Linked DNA regions of Coturnix japonica. The protein of the gene in region 1 binds, or shares a complex with, the protein of each later gene. Links are inferred from orthologs where the notes say so. Each region holds a gene or a part of one and is shown on either strand. Other genes may lie near its edges.

What was found.
Region 2: the proteins of AP2M1 (region 1) and P2RX4 are in contact, whole or in part, in a crystal structure (PDB 2BP5), measured with the Rattus norvegicus proteins. The link is inferred for Coturnix japonica from reciprocal best matches to the Homo sapiens genes AP2M1 and P2RX4. Residues at the interface, in NP_446289.1 of Rattus norvegicus: Phe174, Leu175, Asp176, Lys203, Asn217, Leu316, Ala317, Gln318, Lys319, Glu391, Val392, Pro393, Lys400, Val401, Arg402, Tyr403, Leu404, Ile419, Lys420, Trp421, Val422, Arg423, Tyr424, Ile425; in NP_113782.2 of Rattus norvegicus: Val375, Glu376, Asp377, Tyr378, Glu379, Gln380, Gly381, Leu382, Ser383, Gly384.

Annotation. Positions count from the first base shown.
Region 1 is NC_029524.1:13,837,948-13,846,352, reverse strand, and holds part of AP2M1 (AP-2 complex subunit mu), read right to left. Parts: intron 6,886-8,405; coding exon 6,620-6,885; intron 6,472-6,619; coding exon 6,389-6,471; intron 3,583-6,388; coding exon 3,577-3,582; intron 3,045-3,576; coding exon 2,909-3,044; intron 2,815-2,908; coding exon 2,673-2,814; intron 1,862-2,672; coding exon 1,850-1,861; intron 1-1,849.
Region 2 is NC_029530.1:4,649,156-4,660,072, forward strand, and holds the start of P2RX4 (P2X purinoceptor 4), read left to right. Parts: upstream 1-4,483; 5' UTR 4,484-4,737; coding exon 4,738-4,871; intron 4,872-4,958; exon of another isoform or gene 4,959-5,074; intron 5,075-5,719; coding exon 5,720-5,867; intron 5,868-6,841; coding exon 6,842-6,913; intron 6,914-7,007; coding exon 7,008-7,080; intron 7,081-7,394; coding exon 7,395-7,491; intron 7,492-7,690; coding exon 7,691-7,771; intron 7,772-7,870; coding exon 7,871-8,012; intron 8,013-8,313; coding exon 8,314-8,450; intron 8,451-9,473; coding exon 9,474-9,567; intron 9,568-9,655; coding exon 9,656-9,721; intron 9,722-9,811; coding exon 9,812-9,934; intron 9,935-10,548; coding exon 10,549-10,581; 3' UTR 10,582-10,917. Other genes in the region: P2RX7 (P2X purinoceptor 7), read left to right, coding at 658-751, 1,183-1,248, 1,345-1,461, 2,119-2,214, 2,680-3,141. UniProt on the Homo sapiens protein: ATP-gated nonselective transmembrane cation channel permeable to potassium, sodium and calcium. CTP, but not GTP or UTP, functions as a weak affinity agonist for P2RX4.

The DNA.
Region 1 (8,405 bases):
ATAGAATTAGTAAATAAGTTGTCCTCCTTAAATCTGCTTCGCCACTGTTTTCTTTTTGTCCGAATTAACTTTTTCCTATTCGGCTAGAGGCCCTCCTCCTACGGCCCTCCTTCACGGAAGCAGTTGTGGATTTTTAGTATTCAAACCGTACAGATTGGCCCAGAATGCTGCGGCAACTTTGAGGCTGATTTCCTGTCCTTCTTCGTTGCTCTTTTAGCCTTTTAACAGAAGCTACGAGGTTTTTTCCCGTTAAGGAGCATCTCGTCATGAGTTATTACTTGTTCTGCCCGATTTCAACTGCAGCGCCAGCAGCCCGAGCTGAACACTTTGAACCTTGAAATGCCATTCTCCCCGACTCAAGGACTCCCCGCCTTAAATGAAGATTTTACCAAAAGAGACGACACTTGTCTAAAGCTTTGATGTCGTTTACGTTTGTCATCATCATATGTGTAGGGAGAAAAAAATGACCGCCTTGTTTCTTAGTCCACCCATATAAACATTAGTCGATACCCATTAACCTACAGTGTAACCCTGGCTTAACAACCCACGTCTATTGTTATAAGTACCGGCCCTTTTATCCCATAATCAAATTGTACCAGGTTTTAAGCTAGCCACCTTTTTCATTATGGACAAAACTAAGGTGAGTAAATGTGAAACCTGCCTTTATCCAATGTGACAATGGCGTCACTTCGTAGTCGTATGTGCCGTGAGTGACGTGCATATGGAACTGGGAGCGATACAGCTTTCCAGTTTTGAAGGTGGATGTGTTTGAAATTTGATGGAGTAATGTCGCCGCCTGGCGTTTTTTTAGGCCAGGGACAATGAAAATAGCAACTAAGTTGCAACTAATATACATATAATGTGATTCGACACGCCCTCGCTCCTTTTTCATTTCTGAGTCTGAGAATGCCTTATGCAGTATCCTGAATGATTCAGTGGGCCACCACTATCCTTAATCTCCCTCCCCTTGGCTGGGAAAGGATGAGTGCACCTTGATGTGGGGGACGCCACATAACATAGCGCTGTGATATCTAAGCTGCCTCCACTGCTACGAGCAACAGGGTGACCATGCCGATGTTCAGAGACAGTACACATAACAGGGAGGTTCAGCTGCCCTAAGAGCCACCTCTACCTGCACAAATGAGAAGCAGGCTTATCCCAGGCTGTCAGTTTACACCAGCCATTGGCATAGCTTGTGCTTCACAAGTGGGAGTCAGCTATTCCTGATCTGTTGCTCAGACGAATGTCAAGTTCCTTGGTTTCTTTATGATGCTGTAGGGAAAGCTGTGCTGCCCAGCACTAGCCCAGGTCTTGGGCAGCATTACTCAGGATCTGACACTGCCACATGGCTAGAAGCCAAAAAGCAACTGGCAGCAGCTGCTCCTTTAGGTCACCTGTGCTAAATGCTTCCAGACAGTGATTCTCCTGCCTCTTGCCTGCTGGAGGACCACGAGTGAGCAGAACCACCAAGAATCCCTGTCTGTTCTGCTTCTGTAACTCAAGATAATAGCACACTTACAGGTGAAAGCATTCACAGTACAGGAACTCTGGGCAGTGTTGCTGACTCTTCAGAGGCCTACCCAGATATTTCACCTAGCGTATTCCCCCACCCACTTGAGGCTAATCCATTTTCTTATTAACTAGATTTGGTTACAAGAAACACAGCTTAAAGGTGACAGTGAAGTGATAGCTCTTGGCTTGGTTCTGAGATAAAAGGCAAATAGCAGCTCAGCTCTGTTTACAGGAACCATCTAGGAAAGTGTCTGAGGTCTGAGTTACATGCACAAATCACACAAAGCAAGAGACAGGGAGAAGAGCAGAGCGCACACAGTTGAAGCAGATTATCTACCTTCCCAATTCACTGGGGGGGTCAGCAAAGAAAACCAACAAACAACAAAACAAAACAACACCACCACGAACAAAAAGACAAAAGAAAAGAAACACAGCTCAGTCAAAACCGGTTAGTGGGAGAAAAGTGGCAGTCCCTTTTTTTCCCCCTCTTTTCCTGCCTGCCTGCTTGGGAAGAAGGCATAAGACCCATCCACAGCTCTAAAGGTTCATACTGACTGAGGCATATTTGGAAGGCAGCTGGTCTCCCAGAAGGGACGAGCCTCCAGACCACACAGCCACCTGTGTGACAGCAGTAGGGGCTTACATAGCAGCTTGTCTGCTGTTCTGATTTATAAAAAGCAATCTGGGTGGAAGAGGTTACAGAGGGGTTCCTTCACTGCTCCTTGGGAAGGCTGACTACAACCTCTAAGAGATTCTGTACTGACTAGAACTGCTAAAGAGAAGCTCTGGCAGAATCCACCTTGAGAAAATGTTCCCAGGTACAAAGACCCCACGCTCATCATTATGCTTGAATTTTAAATATGACAGCCCAGAGCACCCACTGCTCCAGACACCTGCTGCTGTACAGACATGAAGTCAGTCACCCAAGACACGCAAGTCATTCCACTTGCTCACACTAGTTCTGCTATAGAACAGCCTTCTTAACTGAAGTCCTAAGTTTAGTAGCTCACACAGCAACAGACCTATCCAGAGAAAAAACAGCAGTGAGAACTGAAGGGGGAAAAAAGGTAAGTTGCTTCCGTCAGATCAGAAAAGCTACCAAGCACTGCCCTCTCATAAGAGTCTCTGGTAGCACATACCCTTTACCATATGCCTCTTACCTCTTCCCCGTTTCATCCGCAGTCCCTTTGCCCTGTTTTTCAATGACAATCTTGTCATTCATGCCAAACTTGCACTCTGGCATTCCACTCAGATAACTCTTCATCACCACTCTGCCAGACACATGGGCACTCAAAACCTGACCTGGAGTGGAAAAGAGCACAGTTCTGAATACTTAAGCATTCAACTATTACCTGGAAAAAAAAAAAATGGTGACAGCTTAATAGCTCCCACTTACCTTGGGGGGACATCAAGAGATTCACACTCTCCAGCACATCAAGGAAGAGTTCATTGCGACGGTATTTGATCCCTTCACGTCTCCACCCAATCTGCCCAGTCACCTGGCTGGTGATCTGGGACTGCTCTTCCTTAGTCTAAAGGGAAAGAATCACATCTTAAGTCTCTAGATAAACTGAAGCACTAAGAAAGCTTACTTTAAACGAAAAAGAAAGTACTTGCCATTTACAGCACACAAACACTTTTGATAATTAAGATTTTAAGTGCTGTCACACAGCTGATAGTGTCACAATAGCAATCCTTCCTCAGCCAAGGGAATTCGACACTAAACATTAGTCACAGAGACAACAGGAAAGCTGCTTCCATTTTGTTAGTTGCACATTAGTCCTCATTTTGGTGCGAGGACTGGGCTAAACTGATGACACTCAAACCACATCCAATGCATCAATCTGTGTTTAAGAGAGACAGGGCAGTTTGTACCTTTATCCAATGTAAGACCCTAGGACCATGAGGCAGCTGGTAACAACTGTTTCTTAATGACTGCAGTCATTATCATGCCATTCTGGACAATGGTTGCACTCCAGCACTAATCTCACAACTAACAGTATCTGCTTTAAGCCTCCTATGAGCTTTAAGGACTGTGTTGAGAGGCACCAGCAGGTTTCCTACCTGATGCTATAGACGGGGTCCAATCACACGCAGAAAGTGAAGAAGTAGATGTATAGCAGCAAGTGTGGTGTACACAGGGTTAGACAGGCAAGCAGGTCAATAGCAAGAAAAAGGAGGAAGGGAGAAAGAGGCAGGTTAGGCTTAAGGCTACCTCAGGACAGGAACAAAGCAGGCCAGCTCATTGCTAACTAGGTACTAAGTCTGCACAAACAAGGCAAGGAGGTTTAACCTTTAGCTTAGAAAGCACAGCACACCTCCCTAGCAGTGAAAAGTCTTTTCAGACACAGCCCATGATACACCACCCCAGCACAAGGTAGGACAGCGGAAACAAACCAAATACCACTCCCAGTTGTTAACTCCTTAAGTTGCCATTCCTAAAGCAAGGTGTGGATGTTTACTACAGCACAGATGCCTAATCTGAGGTACCCAGGGCTGCAGGCATCTTAATAAAACCCAGTCCTGTAAGAAGTTGTGTCCTCGTTTATCCTGCCTCTTCCACCAGAGTGGAGCAGAATGGCAAGGTGGGTCCTTCCCCAGCAGCCTTGCACTGGGCCCACAGGGTGGCAGTACAGGATCACAATTTAAAACCAGTGTTGGCTTTGTTCTTGCCAGAACTGGTCACTCCTTGAGCAAACAGAACCATTATCAGAATACTGACATGGGAGAGTTTTACACTCCACTGGGAGCTGCCTAGGTAAGTATTCTGTGCAGTACAAAATGACCACCAGCCCTGGAAAGAACCACTGTAACCACAAAAGGTGGAGTATTCAGTTCTTCATTGAAAAGGAAAAAAAGCTGAGCTTAGGAATTCTGCCATAAAGGCAGATTTTGTTCCTTTAAGTCAGTAGGACACAGCCCAAGGAAAACACCATCACGAACTAAGCAGAGATAAGGGAGCATGGATAACAGATGATCCAGTCCCAGATTTTAGCCCCACTTATCTGTCAGAAATTGGCTGTATGTGAAAGAGGAATTTGAGGCTCGACGTGCCAGAGTAAATAGCAGACATGGAAACATGGAAAATTCCGTTTCCATTGCTCCCCCTGAAATACTATGTCTGGAAAGGATTGCTGCTGCTCTTTTTGGACTGGGATGCACAGAACAGAGCAGATAACTGTGGGCTGTTGCTTAGCAAAAGCTGTAGATCAGAACTCCTCTTTAAAAGGGAAAGACTAAGCCTATTCTTGAACAAGGTAAGATGCCGTGGCAGTAACGTGCACACAAACAGCACGAGAGTTCGTTAAAACAGACGAAAGCAAAATAAATAGGGAAGGAAATGAGGGTGGTGGAGCTTTCCTAGGAACAGGAGCTGACTCAGCTGCCTTGAGTGCTGACTGCCCAAAATGTCAGACTGCAGAAAGCCAAACAGATTTACACCAGGGCTCTGGATGGAAGATTGAGACCGGATGTACTCACATCTGGCTACTGATACACGTGCCCTCTTGCAAAACACTGCTGTTCTAGCAGAATATATGCTGCTCAGAGGCAGCTTTTCTCCCTCTTTAAAAAATAAATAAATAAAAACGGCCTGTGTCAAAAAGGATCACAATGATCATCCAGTTTCAACCCCCCCGCTATGTGAGGGCTCACCAACAACCAGACCAGGCTGCCCAGAGCCACATCCAGCCAGGCCTTGAACGCATCTAGGGATGGGACATCCACAACCTCGTTGGGCAACCTGTTCCACTGCTGTTACCACCCTTTTCCCCTCAGTTTCTTTTCTTGAGGTACTGCTAGTGTTGCTACTAGATGATTAAAAGGACTTTTTAGGAAGTCAGTGCTAATGAAATAAGCTAAAATAGAGCCTCCAGGGACTCCGAACTCTGCTTATCCTTAACAGTCACCAGGCAGTCTCCTACTGAATACTTCATTTCTGCTTACATCTTGAGTCTGAAATTTCATACAGATCTACTCTGCAGACAGCTTTAGTATAAGCTGACTTCCAGCTTCTCCTTGACTCACTTACTAAATAGATGATAGAATTAAGTGTTAGGCTGAGTCCTCATAACGAGTTGCATCGCTTTATTAGAACAATATGCCCCAGGAACACAAGAAACAGTAACTGCAGCAGCCCTTTTGTTTTACAGAGGTTGAGCATGAGTTGGGATGACAAACCTAGTTTTGAGGAGTAACCAGCAGCAATAAGATAGAGCTAGTTTGAAAAACATTCCCTCAAACCTTCCAACTTCTGTCTTTTTCTCCTCAGGAGCAATTTATCCTCCAATCCCACATATACTTCATTGCAAGAGTTACTGTTGTGCCAGAGAACCTCACCTCTAACATGAGAGATCCCAGACTGTAAAGATGCATCTGCAGCAACACAGTAACATCAGTTTCCTGACTGCCAGCAAGAACCGGAAGGGTGAATAATACTTCATTTCAAAGCCAGGCACAAAGCCTGATAGCTAAAAAGAAGCAAAGACTTGCAGAGAGCAGATCTGCTCAGTGAGATTCACACACAGGACAGCTATTTCTGGTTCAGTAGGCAGATGTGTTTAGTCTTTGTTGGAAGGTGACACAGATCAGTACCTGAAGGCAGTAATCACTTACAAGCAAGGAACTGTCACTACCCTCCTAACACAGGGCCCTTCCTCTCACAACTACTCAGGTGCCAGGGAGCATGAAGTCAAACGAACTCCTGGAATAAGATGCCAGTGAGCTACATTACTGCCAGGGTATTCTTAAGTTACTCTGGTACCTCCACCCAGTACAGGTCAAACAGTTAGCTGGGTAATTAACTGCACTTTCTTGAACAAGCTTACAGAAAATTAGCCAGCAGAGCAATGCTGTACGCCAAAATCCCTCTGGTTACCTGACTCTTGATGCCTTGCTGAGTGATGAAGGTCTTCAGGGCCCCTGTTTCAGAGTTCTGAGGATAGCCAAAATCCAGGATTTCTACAGGAGAGTAGAAGACAATTAGCACAGAGCCACAAGCCAGGAGTGCAACAGAGACATGCCAACCACGTTAACAACTATGGTAAGGAAAGGATTACAGAACAACCAAATGCGAAATCATACAGCAGGCTGAAGGGAAACATCTCACCATCCAGCAGCTCATAGATCAGCACAAAGTTGTTCTTTATGTTTTCTTCACTGATCTTTCCGAAGTAAGCAGTCATCACGTCACACATCTTGTAAAGAAACTCAAATACCATGGCAGCGTTGACATTCTGCTTGGTGACAGCAGCCAGCCAGATGTTGGAACGCTTGACATGGAAGAAACTTGTGCGGGCGATGTTGGTGACAGGCGAGCGGACCTGCTGCCGTGCATGGATGACATTGACGCGGAAGGCATCCACAGCATTCCGCCTACAAGACCAAAGAGAAGTTACCACCATGTGCACAAAAACAGGTTGGCTGCACAGTTCTGCTTACGTGATTACAGTCAGACATTGAACTACACGTACCCAGCTTACTTAGGATAAGTGCCTGGGGATGTCACAGCCAAGAGGGACAAATGAAGGCTCTGAGCAGACTTTGATATTAAAATCCTGTATAAAACTCAAGGAAATTAAGTTATTGGTCTCTGCAGTTTTGTATGACAATTCTAATTGCAGGCAGAAAGAAAAGCCGACTTCCACCTGGAATCAGATGGTAGAGAAAACATTCCTTCTACTTATTTTGCTGATTGATTACCATAGCCAGGAATGAACACTAAAAAAGGCTGTGGCTCAAAGAAGAGTCTGGTTTTGACTGGACTATTTATTATCTAATCTACATGCCAAGGCCTTCATACTCTTGTCCCAAAACAAAGCCGTAGTCTCCCCTGATATGGCAGTTCCCCCAGATATACCTCCAAGTTAAAAGATAAACAGGAAACCTGCCCAGGACACCTGACAGATGTCAGTGCGTGTGCACACACCACAAAGGGCAGTTTTAATTCCCAGATTCATCTCACCTCCACATCCCAGGTACCATGGAGGGCGGGCTGAAAGCAGCAAGCAGGATTAGGAACATTTCTGACTTTCCAGTTACGTGTCCCTTCCAGCCTGCTATGCTTCCGAGCAGGTCTCTTGCAGCAATGCACTATGTGCACTGGATGATCCAGTACCATTTATGATGGGAAAGGAGCCCAGCACAGTGCAGAAAAGGTGCTGTGCAAGCTTCTCCTAGCTACTAACATTGTTAAACCAAGCTAGTTTCACTATACACTACTGAAAGGGAACAAATCAGTCCTAGCTAAGCATAGATCTCTGCATCATATTCTGGATGTCAGCCTTCCCACACTATAGAGTTCTTTCATCCTGTAGCTACAAGAGAGGATAAGCTCCTCAAGTTAAGTCAAAATCCACTGATTTTAAGAACATTGGAAGGAAGTCTGAAGGCTTCATATAACAGGACAGACTTAAAAGCAGCAGTCCACATACCAAGCCAAGACACATCTAGTGCTTTATTACTCATACCCTTCACATAGAACAACAGGGGCTCTCCTCTCTGCAGTGTCAATGGCATGGTACCAATTATGTACACCATGCCTGAGAGCAGATAGCAGTAACATCCTTGCAAGCAAGGATACATGCAAATGCTCATAACAGTCCAGCAGCCAGTTCCAAGTTTAATAACAAAGGACATTCAGAGGAACACGTTATCATAGCAGGTATTCTTTCCTAGCAGAAGCCTCTTCAGTGAACACCCTCCCTCATAAACAAAACTCTGGCATTCAAACACTTCCCAGGCTTAACAGCTCCAGAAGGCTTGTAAATTTGATTTAAATTAATATCTGGGTGTTGTTTTTTTTTCTCCCCCACAAGAAAGTAGTTAACCTGCTGTAAAACAACACCTAGAAGTCCCATTCCTCCCCTCCAGTAAGCTTTTCAAGGAAAGTTCCA
Region 2 (10,917 bases), on another chromosome or scaffold:
TCAAAACTCTTGTGTAACAGCACTTTTTTTTACTCATGGCATGATTATTGCTGTGGGTTTTCATACCTTTGTGATAATAACATGAGCGTTGTGACTGTCTGGGAGCTGCCAACATATCCCAAAGCTGTGTTCTGCTGGAGCTGTGCAAACAAGGAACAAGTAGATATCAGATATTGTTCACCTAGCTGGCTTCAGCCCCTTGATTTTGGAAGGCTGGAAAGGTAGGAAAAAGAAGACAGAAGAAACTATATTCCTGTAAAGGTGATAACAGAAGATGGTTTAAAGGTGGCTAATATAAAGATATCGACCAAGATGGTGATAAATAGTCAAAGGTTATTAGTAAAGAAAACTCACCAATGTTGATGCCTGGACCAGATAGCTGAGGCAGACTCAGCTGGGGATCAATCTCCAAGAGATGCTGCCTCAGTGGTGGTCAGCCCTTAAATGAGGTCTCAGAGGGGGTGGAATCGAAGTCCACCCCTCCCAGGAGCACAGCTAGATTACTCTCACCTGTGCTCCTGCAGCTGACCCAACACTTGCCTCAGCTAATTAATCAGTGGTTCAAGCTGTGATTTCCCATACAATTCCCTTTTGTGTTCTCTAGCTTTGTATCATTACATTCATCAGCTGCACAGATCTTCACTTGTTTTTTTGCAGGTTTGCAAGGCACTATAAGCTTCCAGATGGGAGCGAGCGGAGAACCCTTTTCAAAGCCTACGGAATACGGTTTGATGTCCTTGTGTTTGGCATGGTAAGCGCGACTGTTGATCCTTCTGAAGGGAAGAGAGAAGGAAATTTGCTATTTCTTTAGTCCTGCTTCTGCCATTTATCCCTTTCTTCTGTCCATCACTCTGGGATGGAAGTCATGTCATGAGTTGATCTAAACTCAGCTGGGCAGCGTAATGAGCAAAGTTTAGGAGGAAACAGCAGAGTTAAGAGAGAAGCAGGATTGTTGTTCAGACTGAAAGCATAACAAGGTTTCTTGCCTGACACAAACCCTGCATGTCACCACCGTTTCCTTCTCAAATTATTTATTTTTCCCTGCAAAGTGCCTGTGATGGTCTGTGAAATCCTGAGACTGAATGGATGAATCACTGCAAAGGGGCAAAACCAGAAATGCCATTACTCTGAGTGAATGGTCAGAAATCTTCCTTCCCAATCATTATTTTCTGCTTCCCTTAGGGTGGAAAATTTAATCTCGTTGAACTCTTTACATTCATTGGATCCATGATCACCTATTTTGGTTTGGTGAGAGATTTATTTTTTCACATATCTTGAACTAGTTCTGGGGATAGAGTCTCATTAAGAAAGTGGAATCACGGCTTGCTTTTCTTTCATGTGCAGGCTGTGACCGCTATAGAAAAGTGTTTTTCTTTCTACAATTGCTGCAGCTGCTGCAAAATACCCTTCTGTGAAAATGTAATCAGGAAGAAGTATGAGACTGTGCTGATGCCAGAACAGGTAAGGAATGCAAATTGTTCATTCCTCCTTCATTGCTGGGCTTTGTTCTGCAGCAGCCTGCAGCTGTGGCTTGAGGAGATCAGGGAGTTTTGTGAGAGGGACTGCAGGATCCAGCACAATAAGGAACAGGCAAAGACAACTGCCTCATCCTTTTCATGCCAGAGGAAAGCTGAGCACTGCTTACACACAAAGCCTGGGCATAGCAGAGCCCCACCAGGAAATCGTGACCCTTCACAGAAAGGTGCTGCGAAAAGGTTGTTCATTCAGAGGTCATTGCTCAAAGCCTCTTCCCTGCCAACCTCTTCCTCTTTCTCAAGACATTTATGGCTGTTTCACTGGGCTGTATCTGCTAATCCCCCAGCATGCTAGACATGCCTTTTAAAGAAAGGCATAGAGGAACTCTCCACACAAGGACTCTTCACAAGCACACTCTTACAGTTAGTTTTGCACTGCCTCTTGCCATTACTTCTGTCAGGCCCCACTGCTGTCCACATCCTTGCTATAACACATACTGGAAATCTCTAGTCTTGCTGCATGCAATTTCAGTTGTTGGAGTACAGACTGCAGAAAGAAGATCCCATGGTGAGATCTCTGTTCCGTCTCCGGTTCTCTAAGTAACTACTTGAGCTGACAGTGCTGATTTCTTCTGCTTCACAGGTGGTGTTTGTGTCCTATGTCGATCAGCCACACATTACTTTGATAAAGATGCCTCTGAAAACAAGCTTGCAGGATGCTAAGGACAGCGTTTTTGAGGTAGATGCAGACACTTAATGTTTGAGATTCCCTCCTTGAAGGAGGAAACTGAGGAATGTCATCTCAAACTGATTTGGATTTCTCCCTCCCTGTATTTAAGATTAAACCTCAAGCAACTGAAAATAGATTCATATTCCCCCTTCAATTTAGTAAGTCCTGTGACCAGAGGATGCATGTTTAGAGTCAGCTAAAAGCTGCTGTTTTCCTGTGGTGGGCATGTGCTAGTGGGAGTGTGTTGGTGTTGAAACATCTTCTAAGGAGTCGATTTGATTTTGCTGTGGTGGGTGTTGGCAACACAGAAAGACAATCCTCCTCCAGACCTGCTGATCTATCGTCATTGTGCCTATTGTGCTGTGTCAAATGAAGCACCACATGTTGAGGGTCACTACTGTAAATTCTCTCTGCAGGTGGTGTGAAGCAGCAGCAAATGTTCTATTCTCATTTATTTGGGGAATTGTTTTCCAGAACTGCCCTGTGAAATTCAATGATCCTCGCACCTGCTGCACCCGTGAGTCCAACATGAACCACAGCACTGGACAGTTCGAGCTCAGGATGCTCACACAAAACATTGTCTGCCCCCAATGGTGCTGCTGCGGCCAATGCCAGGAGATGCCGAATTACCACGAGCAGCTCTGCTGCCGAAAAGAAGCGGGGCAGTGCATCACAACCACCTATTGGTTTACACAGCTGGTGCTGTCCAGAGACACTCTGAACAAAGCCCTTCTCTATGAAGATCCCTTTCTGGACCTGACAGGTCACAATTCCAACAGCCAGCTGCGTCGTATTGCTTACAAGCAGTACATTCACTGGCGCTTTGGCTCTTTTGAGATGCAGGACAGAGCCATCATCCCGAGCTGCTGCAGGAGGCTGATTAGAAATACTTATCCCAAAGCTAACGGCAACTATAATGGTTTTGATTTGGAATGAGGATGCAGCTTACCTTGGCTCATACTGTGGATTTTTAACCTATTTCTTTTATGTACCTATAGAAGAAGAAAAAGCATATAGAATTGTAAAATCATAGAATCATAAAATTGATGTTATAGAATATTACTTTCCAAGATCTGTTATGCAGCTGAATTCTTGTGTGCTGTCATTGGAGAGGGTCCATTATTGCCTACTGCTTGGCTTAGACATGCGTCTTGAGCTCAAGTGCTTTCTTCTGATTTGGTTTGGAATTGCAGCCTCTGGGGTGAACTCTTAGTGCTATGTTTTAATGAGAAGTTCCAGCCCTTTGCCTTTGCTTTGGTGTGTATCGAAGTTCCAGATGTATCAGGAGATGATCAACACCCTAAAGATAAGGTAGAGTTAAGGATCTTCTCAAGGCATCATCCCTGAAAGAAGCCCAAGAGATACCACTTGAAAATGTCATCCAATGCATTTCTATCCCCTCGCCTCACCACCATGGATCACAGTTAATAGAAGACACTGTGCTTGTATATTTGCAACCCACTGTTAAAGGCCTCACAGTCCATCCAGATTAAACAGGCTTACTTTAGATTTCAGTGACACAAAGCATTTTCTGCAAATCCCAGCTGTTCTTGTTTAAATCGGGAATTACAATGTAAAATACTTACATCATCTCTGTGTAACATTTTCAGGCATTTCATTCACATTCATTGAATTTTAACACTAAGCCTTTGGCCTCCTGTTTGCTCTTAGCTTCAAGCAGGCACAGCCTCCTACACCTCCTCCTATGGAACCCAGCACAGCACAGGTTGCTTTTTGCTTCGATGCATAAGGCCACATCACAGCCCAGGAGCACCACATTCAGGGTGGCTTCACTGATGCTCCAACATCTTTCCAGTTCTTTCTTTCTGCTGCCTTTGGACATGTTCTGTTCTTGTAGAAATGAGGTGAGGTGGATTACCATGTCTATTATTTCGCACCCCTCTCAACTGAGCTTCTTTCTGAGCTACACCAGCGGTTTGCCATTTCAATTTCCCACATGTGTTTGAAAATGAATTGCCTGTAGATGATGCAAGCCTCAGTTGTGTCTTCAGCTGTAACATACATTCATTGCGCCCGTGTTCACATTGCATCGTTTCTTATATCTCAAGTGGAAACAGGTTGCAGTTAGCATTAACAGCCCTGTTCTGACACATGCACTGCCTTTTTCCTTTTGGAAGAATTACACTTATAGAAGTTGGACAAGACACCAAAGCTGACCCAGATACGCCCACCAAGCCCAACCCCGCCATGCCCACCACCCACACCCCTCAGTGCCCAACCCCCACGGCTCCTTAGCACCTCTGGGTGCTAACACACCTCCCAGCGCAGCCCATTCCAACGCCTGACCACTCTTTAGAAGAATTTCCCCCTATTCCCGATCTGACTCTGCCCTGGCTCTCCAACCAGGCAGCGGGCAGCGCCGGGGCGTGCACTGAGCGTGGGCAGCGCCCGAGCGCTTCGCCACGATCCGCGGGGCTGCGGCACCGCTGCGGGTGATCCCGGCTCCCGCTGCCCGTTCGTGCCGCCGGTCGGTGCTGCTGCTCCGTTGGCCGCCCCTCCCCGGCCGCCGCCATGGCTGCGTGCGGTGAGGCTGTGCGCGGCTTCCTCTTCGAGTACGACACCCCCCGCATCGTGCTGATCCGCAGCCGCAAAGTCGGGCTCATCAACCGCGCCGTGCAGCTCGGCATCCTCGCCTACGTGATCGGGTGAGCGACAGGGGAGCTCGGGTGGGGGCTGTGCGGGAGGGAGGGTCGCTCCCGGTGATGGGCGGAGGGTGCAAAAAGTTGGGAGCGGGGTTGTTGGTTTTCTTTCCCTTCCCAGCTCACGGGGACAAAGGTTGTGCTGTGTGTGCCTGACACGGCGCCCTTGTGTGCTGCCGGCTTGGTTTGGATTGCTCCAGCCCATAAAGGTTGGATATTAGGAAGGATTTGTTCTCCCCGGCGGCGGTGAAGAGCCGTGGGGATGTGGCACCGAGGGACATGGCCAGCAGGGATGGTTTGGGGCCGAGCTTGGTGGGCTTAGTGGTTCTTTTTCAGCCGTTGTGGTTCTGATCCTAAAAATAACGTATGAAATATCCATATAAGCCATGAAAGTTAACCTGATTTCCAGCTGTCCTGAAACGATCCACAATGGACAGACAGCACGTGTGCTCACAGCTTTTGCAGTAAATACCCTTCAAATTTGATTACTTCACCAAAGGGCCTGACCCACCTCGACTGCAGTGAGGACCATCCAGGCTGCACTGAGCTGAACTGTTGTTTTCCTGGGGGTTGCTGGAGAGCATCACAGCTCCTTTCTGAACCCATCTTCACCTGGTGGGGCTGGGAGGATTTATATATCATTACACAGTAATGAAATGCTGCCAAATCGCTTGAGAAAGCCAGGAGGGAGCTTGCTGGTCCTGTGGCTTTTCACTATGAAGCTGTTTGGTCTCACCTTTGCAGGAGACAGGAATAAAAGGGGGAATTTCCCTGTGCTTGTTCGATGTGTTTAGCTGGGTTTTGTGATGTGGTTGGCTTTTTATTTGCTTTTCCTTGCAACTCTTATCTTGCAGCTGGGTCTTTCTGTGGGAGAAGGGCTACCAGGAGACGGATTCTGTGGTCAGTTCTGTTACCACGAAGGTGAAAGGAGTAACAATGACAAACACGTCCACGTTGGGAACCAGGATCTGGGATGTAGCTGACTATGTCATCCCTCCCCAGGTATGAATCACTTTCACATGCAGAGGATGGGTTTTCTAACAAACAGTTACTGCTCTGCCAAAGTCCACCAAGGGCTGAAGTAGCGTTTGCTCCAACATGACCTTTATACAAGAGAATATAGCAAATAAAGCAAGTGAGCTTTGTTCCAGATCATGCTGATCACCTGCTGTTCCTCCACTGGTCCTTTTCAATAGAAGTGAGCACGTCTGTTTGCTCAGGAGGGAGAATTTGCACACTTCAGGAAGAAGCTGTGGCAGCAACCACGCATCCTCCCCTGAAGCAAACAATTCAAAGCTAATTTGGCGGCAGAAACCCTGGGAATAGCCTGACATTCATTTCAAATGGGAGGTGTTGCTGTGCTTACTGATTGCTGGTGTGTCTGCAGGAGCCTGTGCTGCGTGGGCAGTACCTGGCCTTCAGGGCTGGCAGGCAGGGCCAGGCTGCACGTCCTGGGTCACTGCGTGCATCAATTGAGGTGCAGAAAAAGCAACAGATTTAGCCAGATTTTGGCAGAGTGAGGATATTTGCATATTAGCAGAGCAGAAGCAAACAACAGATCCTTGAGTCATACAGATCTGAGTGTAATTGAAGCGGTATTCTCTGCAGAAACAAACCAGACTGGTCAAATGCACAGTAGATTAATTGTCTCAAAAAGTAAGAATGGGAGGTCTGCTCAGACTAGCAGCTGGATTTCTATTTCACTTCCTGCCTTGAAACTCCCCTCAGTAACTTCATACTGTAAATGAGGAAACTCCAGCCAAGCGTGAGGACAGAAAGAACTTTTTGTCCCATACTCCAGGATTAAGCGATTCCATGCGTGAACCTGCTCCTTTAGTGCTGCACCTGCACCATCCAAATCAAATCCCCTCTGCATGGCCACCTGAGCTCTGTTAGCAGAGACATTTGGAGGCGGTGCTTTGGATAGGTTTTGCAGATTGTCACTCTTACATTTCCTTCTTGTTTTGCATGCTCAGGAGAAGAACGCTGTGTTTATCATGACCAACATGATAGTCACACCAAACCAGCACCAAGGCCACTGCGCAGAGGTGTGTAAAGGATCCGCTTTAATCCTGCCCAGCGTGGCTGGGAGTGCAGGAGGAAGAGTTGGTTGAGTTTTGTTTAATTCCTGTTCCTGTCCAGCTTCCAGATGATAACACAGTGTGCAAGGACAACAGCAGCTGCGTTCCAGGATACGTCAGCATCCACAGCAATGGTAGGAAGCTTGCTGCAGGGGCTCCTTGCATTCTGTGCCATCGCTGCTTGGTTCCAATCCCTTGTGAAGGAAGCAGCATTTCATTGAGTCTCCTTGTTCTCATTCTTTCATACCTAAGAGAACTGAGAAGGAAGCTCATATTTTTCTTCTGGAAGAGACTGTGTTGGGTGAGAATTTGACTCAGAAAATAGTAATTTCTCTGTAATTGCATTATAATGGAAGATAGTGGGGGAACTGGGTACTGACACTTCTCCATAAGGCAAATACTGCCCTTTAGTTTGTTTGGGAGTACCTCCATCCACTTGTCTTTCCAGGTATCCAGACCGGGGCGTGCATACCATACAACAGAAGCATCAATACCTGTGAAGTTTTTGCGTGGTGCCCTGTGGAGGATGACTATCCCATACCCAAGTGAGAGCTGTCTTCCTACCCTCTCTTATTTCTCCTGATGGGAGGCCCACAATACACAGCCAGCCTGCCACAGCCAGTGTTTTTTCCTATGGGGTACTAGTGGGAGAAGCTGAAGAGGTTACAAATCAAAGGCCCTGCAGCATTAAAGACTTTGTGAAAATATAAATGGAACTTAATTATTTTTCCTATTGCTTTTCAGGCCAGCATTCTTGCAAGAAGCTGAGAACTTCACCATTCTGGTAAAGAACAACATTTGGTATTCCAAGTTCAACTTCACCAAGTAAGCAGCGTGTGAAGCTTTGCACTGCCCGGCCTCTCAGACAGTAAAGGAGAGCTGGAGAAACAAGAGGATGCAGCAGATCTCTCTGTTCCCTTGCAGGCGAAACATCCTCCCCACTTTCAGTTCCACTTATCTCAAGAACTGCATCTATGATGCCCAGACAGATCCCTTCTGTCCTATCTTTCGTCTGGGGAACATAGTTAAAGCTGCAGGGCAGAACTTCCAGGAAATGGCTGTGGAGGTACTTGGCAGAATCTCTTCTTGAGGCTCAGCTGTGTAGGGCAGACACCTCTCCACCTGGTGGCATGAGCCACAGGACATGGGATAGCTGCAGAATGGAGAGCTGCTCTGGCTGGAGGGAGCAGAATCAATTCTTAACAAGTAATTGGCCTTGGCTGGGGATAAGTGCAAGGCCCTCATGTAGGGAAAGAGGGTGGACTGGGCCCTGAGCCAGTAATTGGGGTTCTGGTCAGCCTGGGAGCCCTGTGCTAGACTGACTGGGCTCTTGGATCACTCGCCATCTCCTCCTCTTTGCTCTGCAGGGTGGGGTCATGGGGCTGCAGATCAACTGGGACTGCAACCTTGACAGAGCTGCTTCCCACTGTGTGCCTAAGTATTCCTTCCGGCGCCTGGACAACAAGGACTCTGCCAACACCATCTCACCTGGGTACAACTTCAGGTAACGTAGTGAGGAATGGACCCTGATGTCCCTATGGCTCAGTCTGCCATGGGTGCAGTGTTCCGGGCTGCTCCCTCTCCTCTGACTGTTGCAGGCAGTCCTTGGAGTTTCTCTGCTGCTGTAAATCTCACTTTGAGGCTTTCTCTGCTGCTATGAAATGTATGTAAACCACAACAAAAGAGGAAGTTCCGCTGATTGTGACTGTCTGAGTCACGTTTGCTTCAGCATGTAGGTGACCATGGGGCCAGCCTCCCACAGCACATCAGTGCAAGGAATGATTGCTTCGGGGTGTGCTGATATGGCAGAATTTGAGGGGGGTGGGAGCCAGAAGGGTCTCCTTCACTGTTCAAGGCAAGGGAAAAGCTGACCTTGGGAAAGCAGCTCTGTCAGTCAAGGATCTGATGTGCACCAAGAATATCTTTCTGGCATACCCCACCGTGCCAGCAGGTTTTGGGGTGTCAGACAAGGCAGGCTGGGTATCACAGGCCCCGAGGTGCTCTTGCAGATTCCAGGCCTCCCCTTACAGGCCCTTCCTCTTCTCTCCTTTTCTCTGCTTCCTCCTGGCATAACGAACCACGTGATGCAGTAAGTCTGATCTCACTTATTTGTTCTTACTCCTTTTCTGTATCATTTGCGTGCAAGTCATGTGGTGTGGGACCAGGAACTGCCTGTGTGTGCCAAGCTGAGCTGTGCTGCTTCTCTTGCTCCCTGCCCTCTCGTGGCTGCCTGCACTGCTGCAGCATCCTGCTTGTCTGAGGGGATGATTCTCATGAGCAGCTGAATTTCTTCCCACTATCCTGACTTGCTGCCCTCCCTATTGCTTTAGAGGTCTCCTGGTTTGTCTGCTACTAATTGTTGTCTTAAACTCATCTGTTCTTGGCTTTTCCCCTCCATGCGCTTGCTTGCATGTACAAACATTTAGCCCATCCTTTTGGGATGGGGAACACACCTGGATGTTGCATGAAAAGCATACAAGAAACCTCCAAGTTTCCAGCTGAGCTCTAACCTACCCTATTGTTCCAGGTTTGCAAAATACTACAAGGATAGTAGTGGCATTGAAACACGAACGCTTACCAAAACTTATGGCATCCGCATTGATATCATAGTGTTTGGAAAGGTAGGGCAGCTTCATTCCTCGAGGCTGTGGGCCGAGAGCTTTCAGAGATGCTGAAAAGCAGTCATCAACTCTCGTAACTGTCTTCCAGGCAGGCAAATTTGATGTAATTCCTACAATGATTAACATCGGCTCTGGCTTAGCGCTGTTTGGAGCGGTAAGTGACACTGTCTGCACTTGGACTGAACTTCGCACTAGCAGCTGAGTTCTGAGGATCGTTGTCTTGAACTCTTTCCATCTCCACTAGGCAACAGTGCTATGTGACATCATTGTCCTGTACTGCATGAAAAAGAGATACTTCTATCGGGAGAAGAAGTACAAATATGTGGAGGATTACGAAGTGGTAAGCACGAACAAAGGCAGAATGGAGGTAGGGTTGTTTCCTTCTCTGATTCTGAAGCAGGATGTACAGAGTCCATATCATACACAGACTTTGTACTGCAGCTGTGAGGAAACTGTCTTCCTTGGAGCAGTTCATTTTTACCTCAAAGCTGTTGGGAGAAGCACTAGAAACAATATTATGTTTCCTGGGCAACCACTCTTAAAGAGGGAAGCCTACATTCGAGAACTTAACACTCCCACTGCATCTCTCTTTGGGTTGCTGTCCTTGGCAGTTGCCTCCTGCATGCTGCAGTCAGCTCTGGCTCCATCAAATCCCCCCAAAGCCTCCAAAGGTTCCTTCTGCTGCAGCCACAGCTACACCAGCATCCAGGATCTGAACGACCCATTGAGCCAGTAGGAGGATTTAGCCCTGCTCTTGCCACTGGTGGGGCTGTTGCTTGACTATTGCTGAGGGCAGAACTGTGCTATGCAGCCCTGTGCTTGGTGGGATGCAATGCTGCAGAAGGAGCATTTCTGATCCAGAATGGCACTGTAAAATCTGAATCCAATAGCAGAGATTTCCTGTGCAGAGGGTTTTGTGTTGATAAAAGAGGGAGAAAGCAAAGTTTTCTGGCAGAGAAGTGTAACTTCTGATCCTTGCAGGGCACAAGTGAGACGTACGGAACAAACTCCTGACCTGCTGCTGCTGCACCAACTGGATGTGAAGGGACACTGTGAATGTTACTGTAACCCTGCTGTGAGAACTACCCCTCTCCTTTGGAAGGAAGGGGGAACAGAACCTAAGAAAGGGACCTTCTTCATTACTCATCACCTTTGGCTGGCCAGAACTGAAGAGGAGAACCAGATCTGCTCCTTGTCTGTTCTTTCCAGGTTAACTGCACCAAGCACATGCAGAGCCTTGTGGCCTCATACCAGACATCTGCACCAGCAGACCTGGGATAGGGACTGCTCCGTCCTTGTCATTTCAGCAGTCCTTTCCCCGAGCTCACTGCTAACAGTGATGAAGCCCTT